Linked DNA regions of Arabidopsis thaliana. The protein of the gene in region 1 purifies or fractionates together with the protein of each later gene. This does not show direct contact. Each region holds a gene or a part of one and is shown in the gene's direction. Other genes may lie near its edges.

Region 1 (8,737 bases):
AAGAAATTGAGCTGCACATCGTAGTCCAGCGATGTTGAAAGGATGTATTAAAGTTGGACAGCCATAAATGAAAAGCATAATCTTCTCAAAGGTCTCTGCTCCACCAGGAAACTCTTGTGGTATCTCGATCTCCGATAGCTGATCCTCTCTTTCCTTAAAATATCCGCTCTTTGCACACAAGAGACTCTACAAAAGATAAACAAAAAAAGTAAGGCATTATATTAACAAAAACCACTAAGCTACATGTATTGGTTGAAAACAGAATTTCTTGAGAGAGAGATTTGATTATCATTATTACCTTGTGAAGGTTAAAACTCTTGTTGCAAACTCGAACATGTACTGACGCGGGTAGACCGGTCTCTTTACTCCTGTGACACACACACACACAGTTACATTACATAAGTCTACAACATGAATAATTCAGATTTGTTATATGACATCACGAAGATAGTCTTGAGATTCATACCAAGAAAGAACTTTGATTTTCAAAAGGGTACTGATATTTGGAGAAGAAATCGGGCTGGAGGCGACGGACGAACAATCCTTGAGGCTGAAAGTTTCCATTATTGAGTATATAAATTGTGAAAACTAAGTAGATAAAGTATATCAAAACCAATATGGTATGATGAAACTGGAGACATTTGGTCGTTCATTTATTCTTCTTCACTATTATATTTTTGAAGAAGAAAGTTGCGTGTTTTGGGGATTGAAGAGGAAGAAAAAGGGTTCTAGGATCCACGAAACAAGAGGACGCTAAGGAAGATTTGAGAAAAAGAAAGTTTCTTTTGGTTTTCGTTTTTATCAAACATTAAACTATAATATGGCTACTTGCATGCAGGCACACACACATATATGCGTAGTAGATGTTGGGTCAAAGTCAGATGCGCACGAGTGTTGAGCTCAAAAAGAAGATCTCAAAATTCAAGGCAAGAAGTTGAAGACGACGTTCCTCGAGTGTTGAGAAGAGTTGAAAAATCTTGTATTATAACATTTTTTCTTCGCTTTTTTCAACAACATTTTTGTTTTTTACTCCAACACTTTCTTTCTTTTTCATGCATTAACTGTAACAAGACTCTAAATAGTTCTAACCAGACATTTTGGTGACGCTTATTTATGATGTTACGATCTGGTCTTCGAGTTATGTAATATACGTTAATTAATAGTGATTTGAGTATTTCTACGAATATAAATATATATTTTTGCAACCATCGTACATTACGAGAAAATCAAGAGAGGAAATCGAAGTACTGTATTGCTTACTTAGGAAGAATTCGCTCATAGAAAACAGGGAAAAGGAGGCTAAAGTAGGAAATTATTAGAGAATTACTTATATTGACACACATGTAACATAGATTTAAATGGATTTACTAGACTAACATAGATTTGTCGACAAAAAAAAAAAAGGCTAACATAGATTTTTTGGTAAAAATGACAGCAATATTTTTAGTATTCTATGCTATCTTTAAGTTATTTAAAGTGTACTCTATTAAACCACATAGATAAAGAAATGCCAACAAAAACAATATGAAACATTACAAATTCTAGAAAACGCCCTAAACGGTTAGCTTTAAATTTGAACTCTAAAGGACATAAAGAATCAATACGTAAATAAATAAAACACGTAAACGACTAAATTCGGTTAATTCCCTTAAAAAAAATTGATCACTCTTTATTCTTTTTTTTTTTGACAAAAAAAAAATCACTCTTAATTCTTAAAACTTGGTTTATGCTATTCATCAGCACAAAGTTCCTGCAATTCATACCAAAACCAGCGAAGTACTATTTCTAATTTCTTGGGATCAGGCCCAACAACATGGAAATTGCCTAACAGCCCAAATAATCAGAAGCCCAAAAGTAAAAACAAAAACAAAGCGAGCCTATATTTACACTCAGCGACCAATGTACATCCGCCACGTTATATCGATAATTTTTCATCTAAATTACAAAAATACCACTTCGTTTTCCTCCTCCTTCACTTCCTTTGGCGGCTCTTTTTTTGTCCTCTCTTCCTCTTTTCGTCGGAGCTCGCGAAGCTCTCTCTCCTCAGAAATCAAAAACCCTAAAAACCCTTTTTGTAGCGATGATGGTAGAACCGAATCAGCTCGTTCAACATCTCGAAACTTTTGTTGACACTAATCGTTCCTCTTCTCAACAGGTACCTTTTGATCAATTTTGAGACTTAGAACAACAGTTTCATTGATTCACCAAGTTTAATTTTGTTTTCAGGATGATAGTCTTAAAGCAATTGCTTCTTCTTTGGAGAATGATTCTTTATCTATTACCCAATTGGTAACAATTTCCACTCACTTGACAACTTCTGAATATTCTTCCGTAGGCTTTATTTGTGTTGTTGGCTTATTTCTGTATTGCTAATGTTTAGGTTAGAGAGATGGAGATGTATTTGACAACAACCGATAACCTCGTTCGAGCACGAGGTATTTCGATTCACTAGCTTAGTTTAATGAGCTTATCAATTTGAACGCAATTGGACATTGGTGTGTTCATAACTATAGGTATTCTCCTGCTTGCGGAGATTCTCGATTGTTTGAAAGCAAAGCCGTTGAACGATACAATAGTTCATACGCTCGTTGGATTCTTTTCCGAAAAGCTGGTAATTTGATACTTCTTAAGTTTGATTATACTCGATTCCAATGTGTCTATTCAATTGTTTTAACATAGAAGTGAAACGATTGTTGTACTTGAATCAGGCAGATTGGAGAGCGATGTGCGGGGCGCTTGTTGGTTGTTTGGCTCTACTGAAGAGGAAAGATGTAGCTGGTGTGGTTACTGATATCGATGTACAAGCTATGGCGAAGTCAATGATACAGAATGTGCAAGTGCAAGCTTTAGCACTGCATGAGCGCAAAGTATGAAGCGGTTATTTGTAGTATTCTGTTATCTAATCTGAATGATTGTGTTCTACGCTGGATGGTTTTTTCATTATCTTCTGCTAAATGACTTTGCAGCTCGCTTTTGAACTTCTGGAGTGCCTTTTACAACAACATTCTGAAGCTATTTTGACTATGGTATGCTAATGCTCTCTACTTAGTTCAGAATTAAACATTCGATCTACTGTGTGAGGAATGTTTTCTTGGAAATCTATTTGAGTCAGCTTTGTAGGAAGACAAATAATTATTTATATGTATCCAAATTTGTAATACTACTCGGGACCTTTCCTCACTTTCTTGTAATCCTATTGACTAAACGGCCATTTCCTAGGGTGATCTACTTGTTTATGCTATGTGTGAAGCCATCGACGGAGAAAAAGATCCTCAATGCTTAATGATAGTTTTTCATCTAGTAGAGCTTTTGGCTCCTTTGTTCCCCAGTCCTTCTGGTCCACTCGCTTCTGATGCATCTGATCTTTTTGAAGTTATTGGTTGCTACTTCCCACTTCATTTTACGCATGTGAGTTTAAAGCCTATCCTTTTTATGATGTGCTATATAGATGGGTTTCTCTTTCTTTCACTAAACTGTTTAGTGTGCTCTTTTTTTGGGTTAATTAGACAAAAGATGACGAAGCTAATATTAGAAGAGAGGATCTCTCAAGGGGACTACTGGTGAGTATTGTGTCATAATTCATGATTTGCATAAAGTTCTTGCTGGCTTATTGTGGCTCAATGGCTTAGTTTCTCAAGGTTAAATATCAGTTGATCATTCTGGTTTGGAGTTCCTTAAAAATAAAATGTTTTAGACCCTTAGAAAATGGTATGAAGATTAGACTGAAAAGCTATTTCGCATATCATGTCCATTCTTTGAAAGCTGTTAGGCAAAGTACAGTGACTTGTCCTGTCTCTGGTAATTTATATGCTTCTCTGCTTCTGAGGGCACAGATGCCTTGAAGATGGAAATACTAATTTTTGTTTTCTACATCTAAGTATGGCTTGCAGTTTCAAGCATGGCTGAAATGGTATTAGGTTAAAAATGGGAGAATTATGATAAATCCTGTTTATATATATATAAATGTATAACATTAGGTTAAATTTATTCACTGATGTACTTTATTCAATTTGCAGCTGGCGATCTCTTCGACACCTTTCTTTGAACCGTATGCTATTCCGTTGCTTCTTGAAAAGCTTTCTTCTTCTCTACCAGTCGCAAAGGTGCGTTTAACATGTAGTTTTCTGTTAATACATCTAGATTATATGCCACTCCGGATGTTGGACAAGTGTAGTTATTTTTGTTCCACTCAAACCTGTATAGGTTGATTCTTTGAAATGTCTGAAAGATTGCGCTTTGAAATATGGAGTAGACAGAATGAAGAAGCACTATGGAGCTCTTTGGTCTGCTTTGAAAGATACATTTTATTCCTCTACTGGGACACATTTGTCATTTGCTATAGAATCCCTCACTAGTCCAGGGTTTGAAATGAATGAGATCCACAGAGATGCTGTTAGTCTTCTTCAGAGGCTTGTTAAGCAAGATATCTCGTTTTTAGGTTTTGTAGTTGATGATACACGCATAAACACAGTCTTTGATACCATCTATAGATACCCTCAGTATAAAGAAATGCCTGACCCAAGCAAACTGGAGGTTCTTGTTATCAGTCAGATACTGTCTGTTTCTGCCAAAGCTTCGGTTCAGTCATGCAATATAATCTTTGAAGCCATATTTTTCCGCCTTATGAATACTCTAGGGATTGTAGAGAAAACTTCTACTGGCGATGTTGTTCAAAACGGAAACTCTACAGTCTCTACCAGACTCTACCATGGAGGTCTTCATCTATGCATTGAACTTCTTGCAGCATCAAAAGATCTTATTCTGGGTTTCGAGGAATGTTCTCCAACATCTGGATGTGCAAACTCAGGGTGCTCTATGGTGAAAAGCTTCTCAGTTCCATTGATCCAGGTGTTCACTTCTGCAGTATGCCGCTCGAATGATGATTCTGTTGTGGATGTATATCTTGGAGGTGAATGCTTGTGGTTACTTAATAGATATATCACCATCTTGTGGTTCTTGCCGTCTTTTCTTAATACTGAACTCGGTCTACAATTTTTTCTAGGTTACCATGTTCTTATTCCTATTATCTAAATGATTTATTTTGTTAATGAATACAGTTAAGGGTTTGCTGACTATGGGTATGTTTCGGGGCGGCTCTTCTCCTGTATCGAGAACCGAATTCGAGAATATTTTGGTGACATTAACATCAATCATTACAGCCAAGAGTGGCAAAACAGTGGTGTGGGAATTGGCATTGAAGGCACTGGTCTGTATCGGCTCATTTATTGATCGGTATCATGAGAGTGACAAGGCTATGAGCTACATGAGTATAGTTGTCGACAATTTGGTCTCATTGGCCTGTTCTAGTCATTGTGGTCTTCCATATCAGATGATATTAGAAGCAACTTCAGAAGTTTGCTCCACTGGACCAAAGTATGTGGAGAAAATGGTTCAAGGATTGGAAGAAGCTTTTTGTTCCAGTTTGTCTGATTTCTATGTATGTGTTACCCCCGTGACTAGACCATAAAGTTTTCACTTATATTTGATCTAACAGTTTCTATCTCCAACAAGCAACAGATCGAGAGCTTCCTTGTATCTAACTTCTATTTGGAAACCACTTGTCAGGTCAATGGAAACTTCGAGTCAATTGACAATTGCTCTCAGCTCCTGAAGTGTTTGACCAACAAATTGCTTCCACGGTACCCAAACTTTTCTTGAATTTATTTTATCTCATAGATAAACTAGCTTTGCCAGCGTGAGTATCTAGACTTTTAGTTGTTCGTAAACAGCCAACTATTCTGGATGATACAACTTGTTAACTGCCATACTTTGGTAGCGTATTTAGGTTCTCTCTGTTCAGGTTCATTGTGTTATTCCCCTTAGTCAACCCCTTGTAACTCGGTAGAATCCGTCAAGATTTTATAATAGACATAGAAAACAACTATAGATGGCACATTCACCTAACAGAGAGTTATAATAAGCACATGGAAACCAACAAGCAATGCAATAGCACGAGTGTCTTTTCTATTATTCCTTTACAAAATAGAGACCTCTTTGTGTCTTTTTCCTTCATTTACAAATTTTATCGTTCCAAAGATGAAAACTTAAAAACATTTGTGGTGCATCCATGTGTATGGCTCCACTGTTTTTTATCTGATTGGAGATTCTTTTTCTCTATGCCTTCTCTCTGCCAAGAACAATATTCTTCGTTCCTCTTTTGCATGTCCTTTTGACTCGTGGAATTTTGTTCTGATCTCAATTAGTGTGGCTGAGATAGATGGTCTCGAGCAACTCTTGGTGCATTTCGCTATCAGTATGTGGAAACAAATTGAATTTTGTGGAGTTTTCAGTTGTGATTTTAATGGTAGGGTAAGTGCTCAGATGAACTTTAGACTCTTTGTTTCTCTTCGAACTCGATTTGGTTTATTTATTTTTGATGTCATGAATTTATTTGCTCTTCTATAACAGGAGTTTGTTGAGGCAGCGATGACAACGATGAGGCAAGTTGTAGGAATTGCTTTGGTAGATTCACAGAACAGTATAATCCAAAAAGCTTATAGTGTGGTATCATCTTGTACGCTTCCAGCTATGGAGTCTATTCCTTTGACCTTTGTTGCATTAGAGGGTCTACAGCGTGACTTGTCCTCTAGGGATGAATTGATACTTTCACTATTTGCATCAGTTATCATAGCTGCGTCCCCCTCAGCATCCATTCCAGATGCGAAATCACTTATACATCTGCTTTTGGTAACACTTCTTAAGGGTTATATCCCAGCAGCTCAAGCTTTGGGTTCAATGGTTAACAAATTGGGCTCGGGTTCTGGTGGAACAAATACCTCAAGGGATTGTTCCTTGGAAGAAGCATGTGCTATAATATTTCACGCAGATTTTGCATCGGGAAAAAAGATTTCTTCTAATGGATCTGCTAAAATTATAGTTGGAAGTGAGACAACCATGTCAAAGATATGTTTAGGTTACTGTGGTTCTCTGGACCTTCAAACCCGTGCAATCACAGGACTAGCATGGATTGGGAAAGGTTTACTCATGCGGGGCAATGAAAGAGTTAATGAAATAGCTCTGGTGCTAGTAGAGTGTTTAAAATCCAATAACTGTTCTGGGCATGCGCTGCATCCTTCTGCCATGAAACATGCAGCAGATGCATTCTCTATAATAATGTCTGATTCGGAAGTGTGTCTGAACAGAAAATTCCATGCAGTTATACGACCACTCTATAAACAGCGGTGTTTCTCTACGATAGTTCCCATTTTGGAGTCTTTGATTATGAATTCCCAGACTTCACTATCGAGGTAAATATATCTTTAAGTATATTTATTGTTACTCTTTTATAGTTCTACTCTTTCATAGAAAAATGTTTGGTCATTAGCATCTTTGGTGCTCTTGTGTGTACTCTGTCTTCATCATTAAGTCCTTCTATGTCATTTCCCTAGAATGCAATTGCACCCACAAGAACCGTTTTAGTGTTCCTTTCTGGAAGAATAAGAAGACCTCTTGAAGATTGTTAGTTTAATTTTGGTTAGATGTAGCTACCACATAAACTCATACTAGTTTAGGCTTCGTTGTTGCTCCAAGTTTCAAGTACATATCATAAATAGGCAAGTTACAGTTTATTGTGACAAACAACAAATTTGATTCTCAGCTGACTGGTTTCTTCATTTTTTTTCAGAACAATGTTGCATGTAGCTCTCGCTCATGTTATATCCAATGTTCCGGTAACAGTCATATTGGACAATACCAAAAAGGTGAGCCTTAATTTAGACTTTGTCTTTTGTACCTTTTTAAACAGTTTCTTATTAGACATTGGTCTGTGCAGCTACAACCGTTGATACTGGAAGGCTTGTCTGTCTTAAGCTTGGACTCTGTGGAGAAAGAAACTCTTTTCAGTCTATTACTGGTTTTATCTGGAACGCTTACTGATACTAAGGGTAAGAAAAGTTAGATGCTGGGATACAAAAGCTTATTGCATTATATAAAATCTTGCTTCATTTGTTGAAGATCAAACAATTCTTATATGATTCAAATTCGTTTGCGCCCACTGATAATAGGGATTGTGTATATGGTTGAGTTAATGCAATAGTTGATAAGCCTCAAAAAGACATTTTATATTCAATTTTGCCGAGAATTAACCATTTGATCTGTTTGCAGGACAACAATCTGCCAGTGATAATGCACATATAATCATCGAATGCCTGATCAAGCTTACATCATATCCGCATCTAATGGTGACAAATCATTTTCTTTTCTATAGCATCTTCGTTTTTTCCAACGGAATTGATTCTTGAATCTTCTAATGATAATATGTCCACGTTAAATGGTATGCAGGTTGTTAGAGAAACATCAATTCAGTGTCTTGTTGCGTTGTTGGAATTGCCGCATAGAAGGATTTATCCTTTCAGAAGAGAGGTTAGTTAAAAGATCTAACCCACATGTTTTTAGTGTAGAGTAAGAAATGTGTCTAATGACTTTGGAATTTATTTCAAGGTTTTACAAGCAATAGAAAAGTCACTCGATGATCCGAAACGGAAAGTTCGAGAAGAAGCTATTAGGTGCAGACAGGCTTGGTTAGTAACGTAAAACTCATCAGTTATCTTTTTCGTAATTGCGGCTTTTAATCACTATCTTGTGAAATAATTCTGATCATTGTCAAAATCAGGGCGTCAATCACATCCGGAAGTAACATATTCTGAAGTTGAATTGAGAGATTAACGAAGCCAAGTTATCTTCTTCAAAGTAATATTCTTTTTTACATTTGTGACATTTGTTAGAGAGCCAGCGAATC
Region 2 (5,699 bases), on another chromosome or scaffold:
GATGGAGGTACGTACCACGTACACCGTACAAATGGAAATTAGATAATGTTGGTCAAGGTAGGGAGAGATAATTTTAAAATTTAGAGGAGACAAATAGTCCACGATTATTTATTTTCTAATTTTCCACAAGTAAAAGTACTTTCTAATGTGATTAAAAATGTTCGGTCTAAAACATTTACATTTATTATGAAGGTATTTTTGACCAAACATATAACTTTTTTCTCTTTCAAATACACCAGTATAGCTAATAATATCACATAATTTTGCATAGATATCTACAAACATTAATTTGCTTGTATGATATTGACTTAGTAGCTATTCTTCATATAGTAAACGTAAATATATTTTTTTGGTGAGAATCATATATATAATATCTTTGTTTTCTATGTAACTTGTTTTTTTTTTTTTTTTGGTAAAAAATGTAACTTGGTTTTTCTTTACTTTCTTTGGTTTCTCATATCAAATCAGAGATGTTTACTGTTTTTGTTAAGTAATGTTACTCTAATTAGTGAAAATAGTGTTGAAACGGTAACTCTGAAATCAGAAAGGTATTTTGCAGATCATCTTTGGTTGTATAAACTGCAAATTAGGTTTGAAATCATCTTCTTGACCAAATATTTCGGTAACAAGAAGTCAAGAACTATAATGAGAAAATCAAAAAGCATCTTTCTTTAAGCAATAAACAAATAAATTGACAACAATAATTCCAAATTAATTTATTATTCCTCAGTTAAAATTCAGAAATCTGAATATACAAATTGAAAATAGCCAAGAGAAATATAAATAAGAATCTCTCGACCAGAATCAAAAATATCTAAATTAAAAACTGAGGGCTCCTCTCTCCAAAAAAACTATCTCCTTCATCAAATCTTCATCATTCTGGGACGACGACACTGGCGACAACCAAAAACAATATCAAACCCTAATTTTGCCATCTCCTTCCCAAAAACAAAGTCAAAAATCATTAAAAAAAATAGCAACGAAATTAAATTAAAACTTTCAAAATTAAATCTCTAACCAAAGTTTCAATCACATTCCGTTTGCAAATTTCATTAGCACACAGATTTTTCAGCAATCCCAGGAAGTAACGGACGAGATTCAACGTTGTTCTTCGCCAATCCAACATGACTACACCTCCGGAGATCCTCAAGCGTCGCCGCCGGAGGATTACCTCGTCCAGATGATGATGACGACTCACACCGAGTCACAATCGCAATAATATCCTCAAACAACGATTCATCACAAGGAATCGCTAACGGACCAACGTTAGCGAATCCATACTCTTCCTCAGCCTCAGCTAGAAGCCGTCGGAAAATCGGATGGTTCAAATGCTTAGCACGGACAACGTATCTCCGACGATTCTCACCGACGGAAACAGCAACGTGACCAGGAGGTACATCGGAAACAGGATCGTTGTTGCTAGATCCGATGTGAGCTTTTTTCTGCCATTGTTTAAGCATCTGACGGATCCGAACAACGCTTCCGATCTTATTGTTCTTCCCCATTGATATCGAACAATTGCTTCTTGTGGATTGCTTTTGCGTTTTTTGGCTCGCTTTTCCCCAGAAAATGAAGGGAAAGTTGGAGAGCAAAAAAAAAAAAAAAAAAAAAAGGTTAGAGAAGAGACATTTTTGCTTTAGGCGTTGCTTTCACCAAATTTTGGAATAATACGGCAAGCAGGGGAATATTGAAGGGAGCGTTACGGTATTTAAAGGTTAATCATTTAGGTTTCATTTTGCCCCTCTAACGTTTGCTAAATTACGATTTTACTCTTCTCTATTTATGGTTTTTTGATTTTTTTTCTCTTTTTTTTTCCTTCTTTATCTTATAAATAAAAGATTCATAGCTCTGTTTTTGTTTTCATTCTTTTTAACAAATTTTTTTCAGAAACAAAATTGGTCAACTTTTCATAATTGGTTTGTGTGTATTTTTTTTGGTAAGAATATTGAATTGATGCATATATCAATTTTTTTGTTTTTAATATATAATATCTTACTCAACACATAAAAGAAAATTAATAAATACTCAGATATCTTCTTCTTTATTTGATTTTCCTTAAGAATTTGAAAGAGCAGGCTTTTTACAAAGCCTCAAAGAAAAGCCCATATGGCTTTGGTTTGATGAATTAAGAATTGCTTTTCTCTAATTGTGTGCGCCCGACCCGCTTTGTATCAAGCCGACCCGTTTCGTTTTAAAAATGCATTTTGAGCCACAGAAAAGGGGACCCACCACGAAAAAAATAGAGATTCTCTTCTAAAATATCATCAAAGTACAAAGAATTTAAAGCCGAAAGAAAAATTGTTTAAAAAGATTCGCAGAAAAAAAAAAAAAAAGGGTGAGGCGGTCACTTCACTGACGACGTGTGCTATACATACACAGTCAAATACAACCCTTTCCCCAAATTGACCCCAAAACCAAAAACAAATCAGAAGAAAATTAAAATAAACCTAAAAGAGCAAATTTTTATTCGCATTGCTCTCAAAAATCATCCATGGCGGCCACCTCTAGCATCTCTTCTTCTCTATCTCTCAATGCTAAACCCAACAAGCTCTCTAACAACAACAACAACAATAAGCCTCACCGTTTCCTCCGTAATCCCTTCCTTAACCCCTCCTCCTCCTCTTTCTCTCCTCTTCCGGCTTCTATCTCCTCTTCTTCTTCTTCTCCTTCGTTTCCGCTCAGAGTTTCAAACCCTCTTACCCTGTTGGCGGCAGACAACGATGATTATGACGAGAAGCCTCGGGAAGAGTGTGGAGTTGTCGGAATCTACGGTGACTCAGAAGCTTCACGACTCTGTTACTTAGCTCTCCATGCGCTTCAGCATCGAGGTCAAGAAGGTGCAGGTATTGTTACCGTTAGTAAAGATAAGGTTCTTCAGACCATTACAGGTGTTGGTTTGGTCTCTGAGGTTTTCAGTGAATCCAAACTCGATCAATTACCAGGAGACATAGCCATTGGTCATGTCAGGTACTCGACTGCTGGTTCTTCTATGCTCAAGAACGTTCAGCCGTTTGTTGCTGGTTATCGATTTGGCTCTGTTGGTGTTGCTCACAATGGCAATTTAGTGAATTACACGAAATTGAGAGCTGATTTAGAGGAAAATGGTTCGATTTTCAATACTAGCTCTGATACTGAGGTTGTGCTTCATTTGATTGCCATTTCTAAAGCTAGACCCTTTTTCATGAGAATTGTTGATGCTTGTGAGAAGCTTCAAGGTGCTTATTCGATGGTGTTTGTGACTGAGGATAAGCTTGTTGCTGTTCGTGACCCACATGGGTTTAGGCCTTTAGTTATGGGTAGGAGAAGTAATGGAGCTGTTGTGTTTGCTTCTGAGACTTGTGCTCTTGATTTGATTGAAGCTACTTATGAGAGAGAGGTTTATCCTGGTGAGGTTTTAGTTGTGGATAAAGATGGTGTCAAATGTCAGTGTTTGATGCCTCATCCTGAGCCAAAGCAATGCATTTTCGAACATATTTACTTCTCGTTGCCTAATTCGATTGTCTTTGGTCGGTCTGTGTATGAGTCTAGGCATGTCTTTGGTGAGATTTTAGCTACTGAGTCACCTGTTGATTGTGATGTGGTGATCGCTGTGCCTGACTCGGGTGTTGTGGCTGCTCTTGGTTACGCGGCTAAAGCTGGTGTAGCGTTTCAGCAAGGTTTGATTAGGTCTCATTATGTTGGAAGGACTTTCATTGAGCCGTCTCAGAAAATCAGAGATTTTGGAGTGAAGCTGAAGCTATCGCCAGTCCGAGGAGTTTTAGAAGGGAAAAGAGTTGTTGTTGTTGATGATTCGATTGTTAGAGGAACAACTTCGTCCAAGATTGTGCGTTTATTGAGAGAAGCGGGTGCGAAAGAGGTTCACATGAGGATCGCGAGTCCTCCTATTATTGCATCTTGTTACTACGGAGTGGACACGCCTAGCTCAAATGAGTTGATATCGAATAGGATGAGTGTTGATGAAATCAGGGATTACATCGGATGTGATTCCCTTGCGTTTTTGTCGTTTGAGACGTTAAAGAAACATTTGGGGGAAGATTCTAGAAGCTTCTGCTATGCATGCTTCACGGGGGACTATCCGGTGAAGCCTACAGAGGATAAGGTGAAGCGAGGAGGAGATTTTATCGATGATGGTCTCGTTGGAGGAATCCACAACATTGAAGGAGGTTGGGTACGGTAGATAGCAGATATTCAAGTTCTGCATTATGATGATCAATTTTGGGTACTAATGGAGTAAGATGATGACGATATCTTGTTGAATTTTGTGTTCCATTTGACCTTAATTGCTGGCACATTTTTACTATTTTATTGAGTCTGGGATGGATTAAGATTTAAGGGTTGTTCTTGTCTGAATCTTTGAAAGGTTTTGTTTACTTTTGTCTCGTTAAGAATTCAAATCTTCTCTCTGTTTTCATTGCACTTTACTTAATCAGAAAATGTAATGGGTGATGTGGTATATGAGAGACATCTCTCTATTTACTAAAATTTGATTCGGTTATCGATTTGGTTATTTCGGTTGAATATGGTTTGAACTATTCCACGTCACCGTAGATGGTGCCAAATGACAACTATACCCTCAGAACAATGGATAAATTTGTTCTGTTTCGTTACTTCCTCAAATCCAAACACACAAAACAGAGGAATTTACGAGATTAAGGAACCATTGTGACGATGCCTAAGTTTCTACACACCCATCAATCTCACTTCTTCTTCCTCCATCATCAGACATTGTTGCTTGGATATTGAGAAGCTAGTCTTAGGTAGGTAGGTTCCTATATGAGTTTGAGTAAACGACGGTGATACATTTGAGTGTTGTTCAGCTAAACAAGCTTTTGAATGGTGAGCTTGTCTGTTTCAAATATGAGATACACGAAAGTTAGAGTAAGCCGACTAGATAAGCCATTGACATTTTGACCATGTCATTACAAACGGAAGCAGAGCAACTGGTTTATGGGGGCTTGTGCTTGTGGCGAGTTCTACGAAATTTTTGCTTGGAAAGGTAGTGATACGTTTAGGAGATGTGTGTGTTGTGTTGTGAATTTGCTTGTAGTTTGAGTAAGATTGTGCTAGTGGCATATTTTTCATTCTGTTTCGAGCATTATGTTAATACATGACTAGGTTTGACTTTTATAGATTTGTGTTACTTTACAAGGCTTGTTTTGTTGATGTTCCATCTCTTTCAACAAACACTCTAAATTGTGATTTGTGAACATCAAATAAATTACGTAGGTAGTAAGAAACATATTTGTTCTTGTAACGGTAACTTAATTTGACTTTTTGTTACATTGATCAATTTCCTTTTCTTCGCAAAACATAGAAAAAAGAGACAATTTCCTTTTTTCAATGGAGCGTTTGCTTATAAATACTCCAACTCTCGTATCTTCTTCTTCGTTGAGAAATCAAAATACCATCTTTTATCTTCTTCTTCTTCTTCTTCTTCTTTCTTTTTCATACCTGCAATTTCCCTGAGAGACTGATCACTGATGTGCTTTCGTTCTCTCGTGACAACAATCTTCAATCAATCGAGTTCACTTTTTAGTTCGTGACTCCCTAATTTCACACGATCAAAGATCTCGCCACCGAAACGCTTTCACCGAAGGATTCTTTCAACGGCGGCGAAGGAGATGATTACACGACGGAGAAGGATGCGCGGAAGACTATGGCCAAGAGAGGGATAGTGAAATTAACGACCAGTTGGCAGA

Evidence for each region. Proteins that work in one complex are often made in the same cells at the same time.
Region 2: the proteins of MET18 (region 1) and ASE2 purify together in Arabidopsis thaliana (affinity purification with western blotting; one study listed by BioGRID). This does not show direct contact.

What each region holds. Positions count from the first base shown.
Region 1 is NC_003076.8:19,508,118-19,516,854, reverse strand, and holds the start of MET18 (ARM repeat superfamily protein), read left to right. Parts: upstream 1-1,959; 5' UTR 1,960-2,080; coding exon 2,081-2,155; intron 2,156-2,226; coding exon 2,227-2,289; intron 2,290-2,380; coding exon 2,381-2,435; intron 2,436-2,513; coding exon 2,514-2,611; intron 2,612-2,708; coding exon 2,709-2,867; intron 2,868-2,966; coding exon 2,967-3,026; intron 3,027-3,219; coding exon 3,220-3,408; intron 3,409-3,506; coding exon 3,507-3,560; intron 3,561-4,016; coding exon 4,017-4,103; intron 4,104-4,203; coding exon 4,204-4,909; intron 4,910-5,057; coding exon 5,058-5,437; intron 5,438-5,565; coding exon 5,566-5,639; intron 5,640-6,203; coding exon 6,204-6,309; intron 6,310-6,408; coding exon 6,409-7,247; intron 7,248-7,624; coding exon 7,625-7,700; intron 7,701-7,771; coding exon 7,772-7,883; intron 7,884-8,103; coding exon 8,104-8,180; intron 8,181-8,280; coding exon 8,281-8,361; intron 8,362-8,439; coding exon 8,440-8,519; intron 8,520-8,611; and 3 more. Other genes in the region: AT5G48130 (Phototropic-responsive NPH3 family protein), read right to left, coding at 1-186, 299-368, 467-564. UniProt on the Arabidopsis thaliana protein: May select specific target apoproteins to which a Fe-S cluster produced by the cytosolic iron-sulfur (Fe-S) protein assembly (CIA) pathway is transferred.
Region 2 is NC_003075.7:16,573,372-16,579,070, reverse strand, and holds ASE2 (GLN phosphoribosyl pyrophosphate amidotransferase 2), read left to right. Parts: upstream 1-2,317; 5' UTR 2,318-2,491; coding exon 2,492-4,177; 3' UTR 4,178-4,527; downstream 4,528-5,699. Other genes in the region: AT4G34750 (SAUR-like auxin-responsive protein family), read right to left, coding at 1,053-1,505. UniProt on the Arabidopsis thaliana protein: Catalyzes the first committed step of 'de novo purine biosynthesis from glutamine. Required for chloroplast biogenesis and cell division.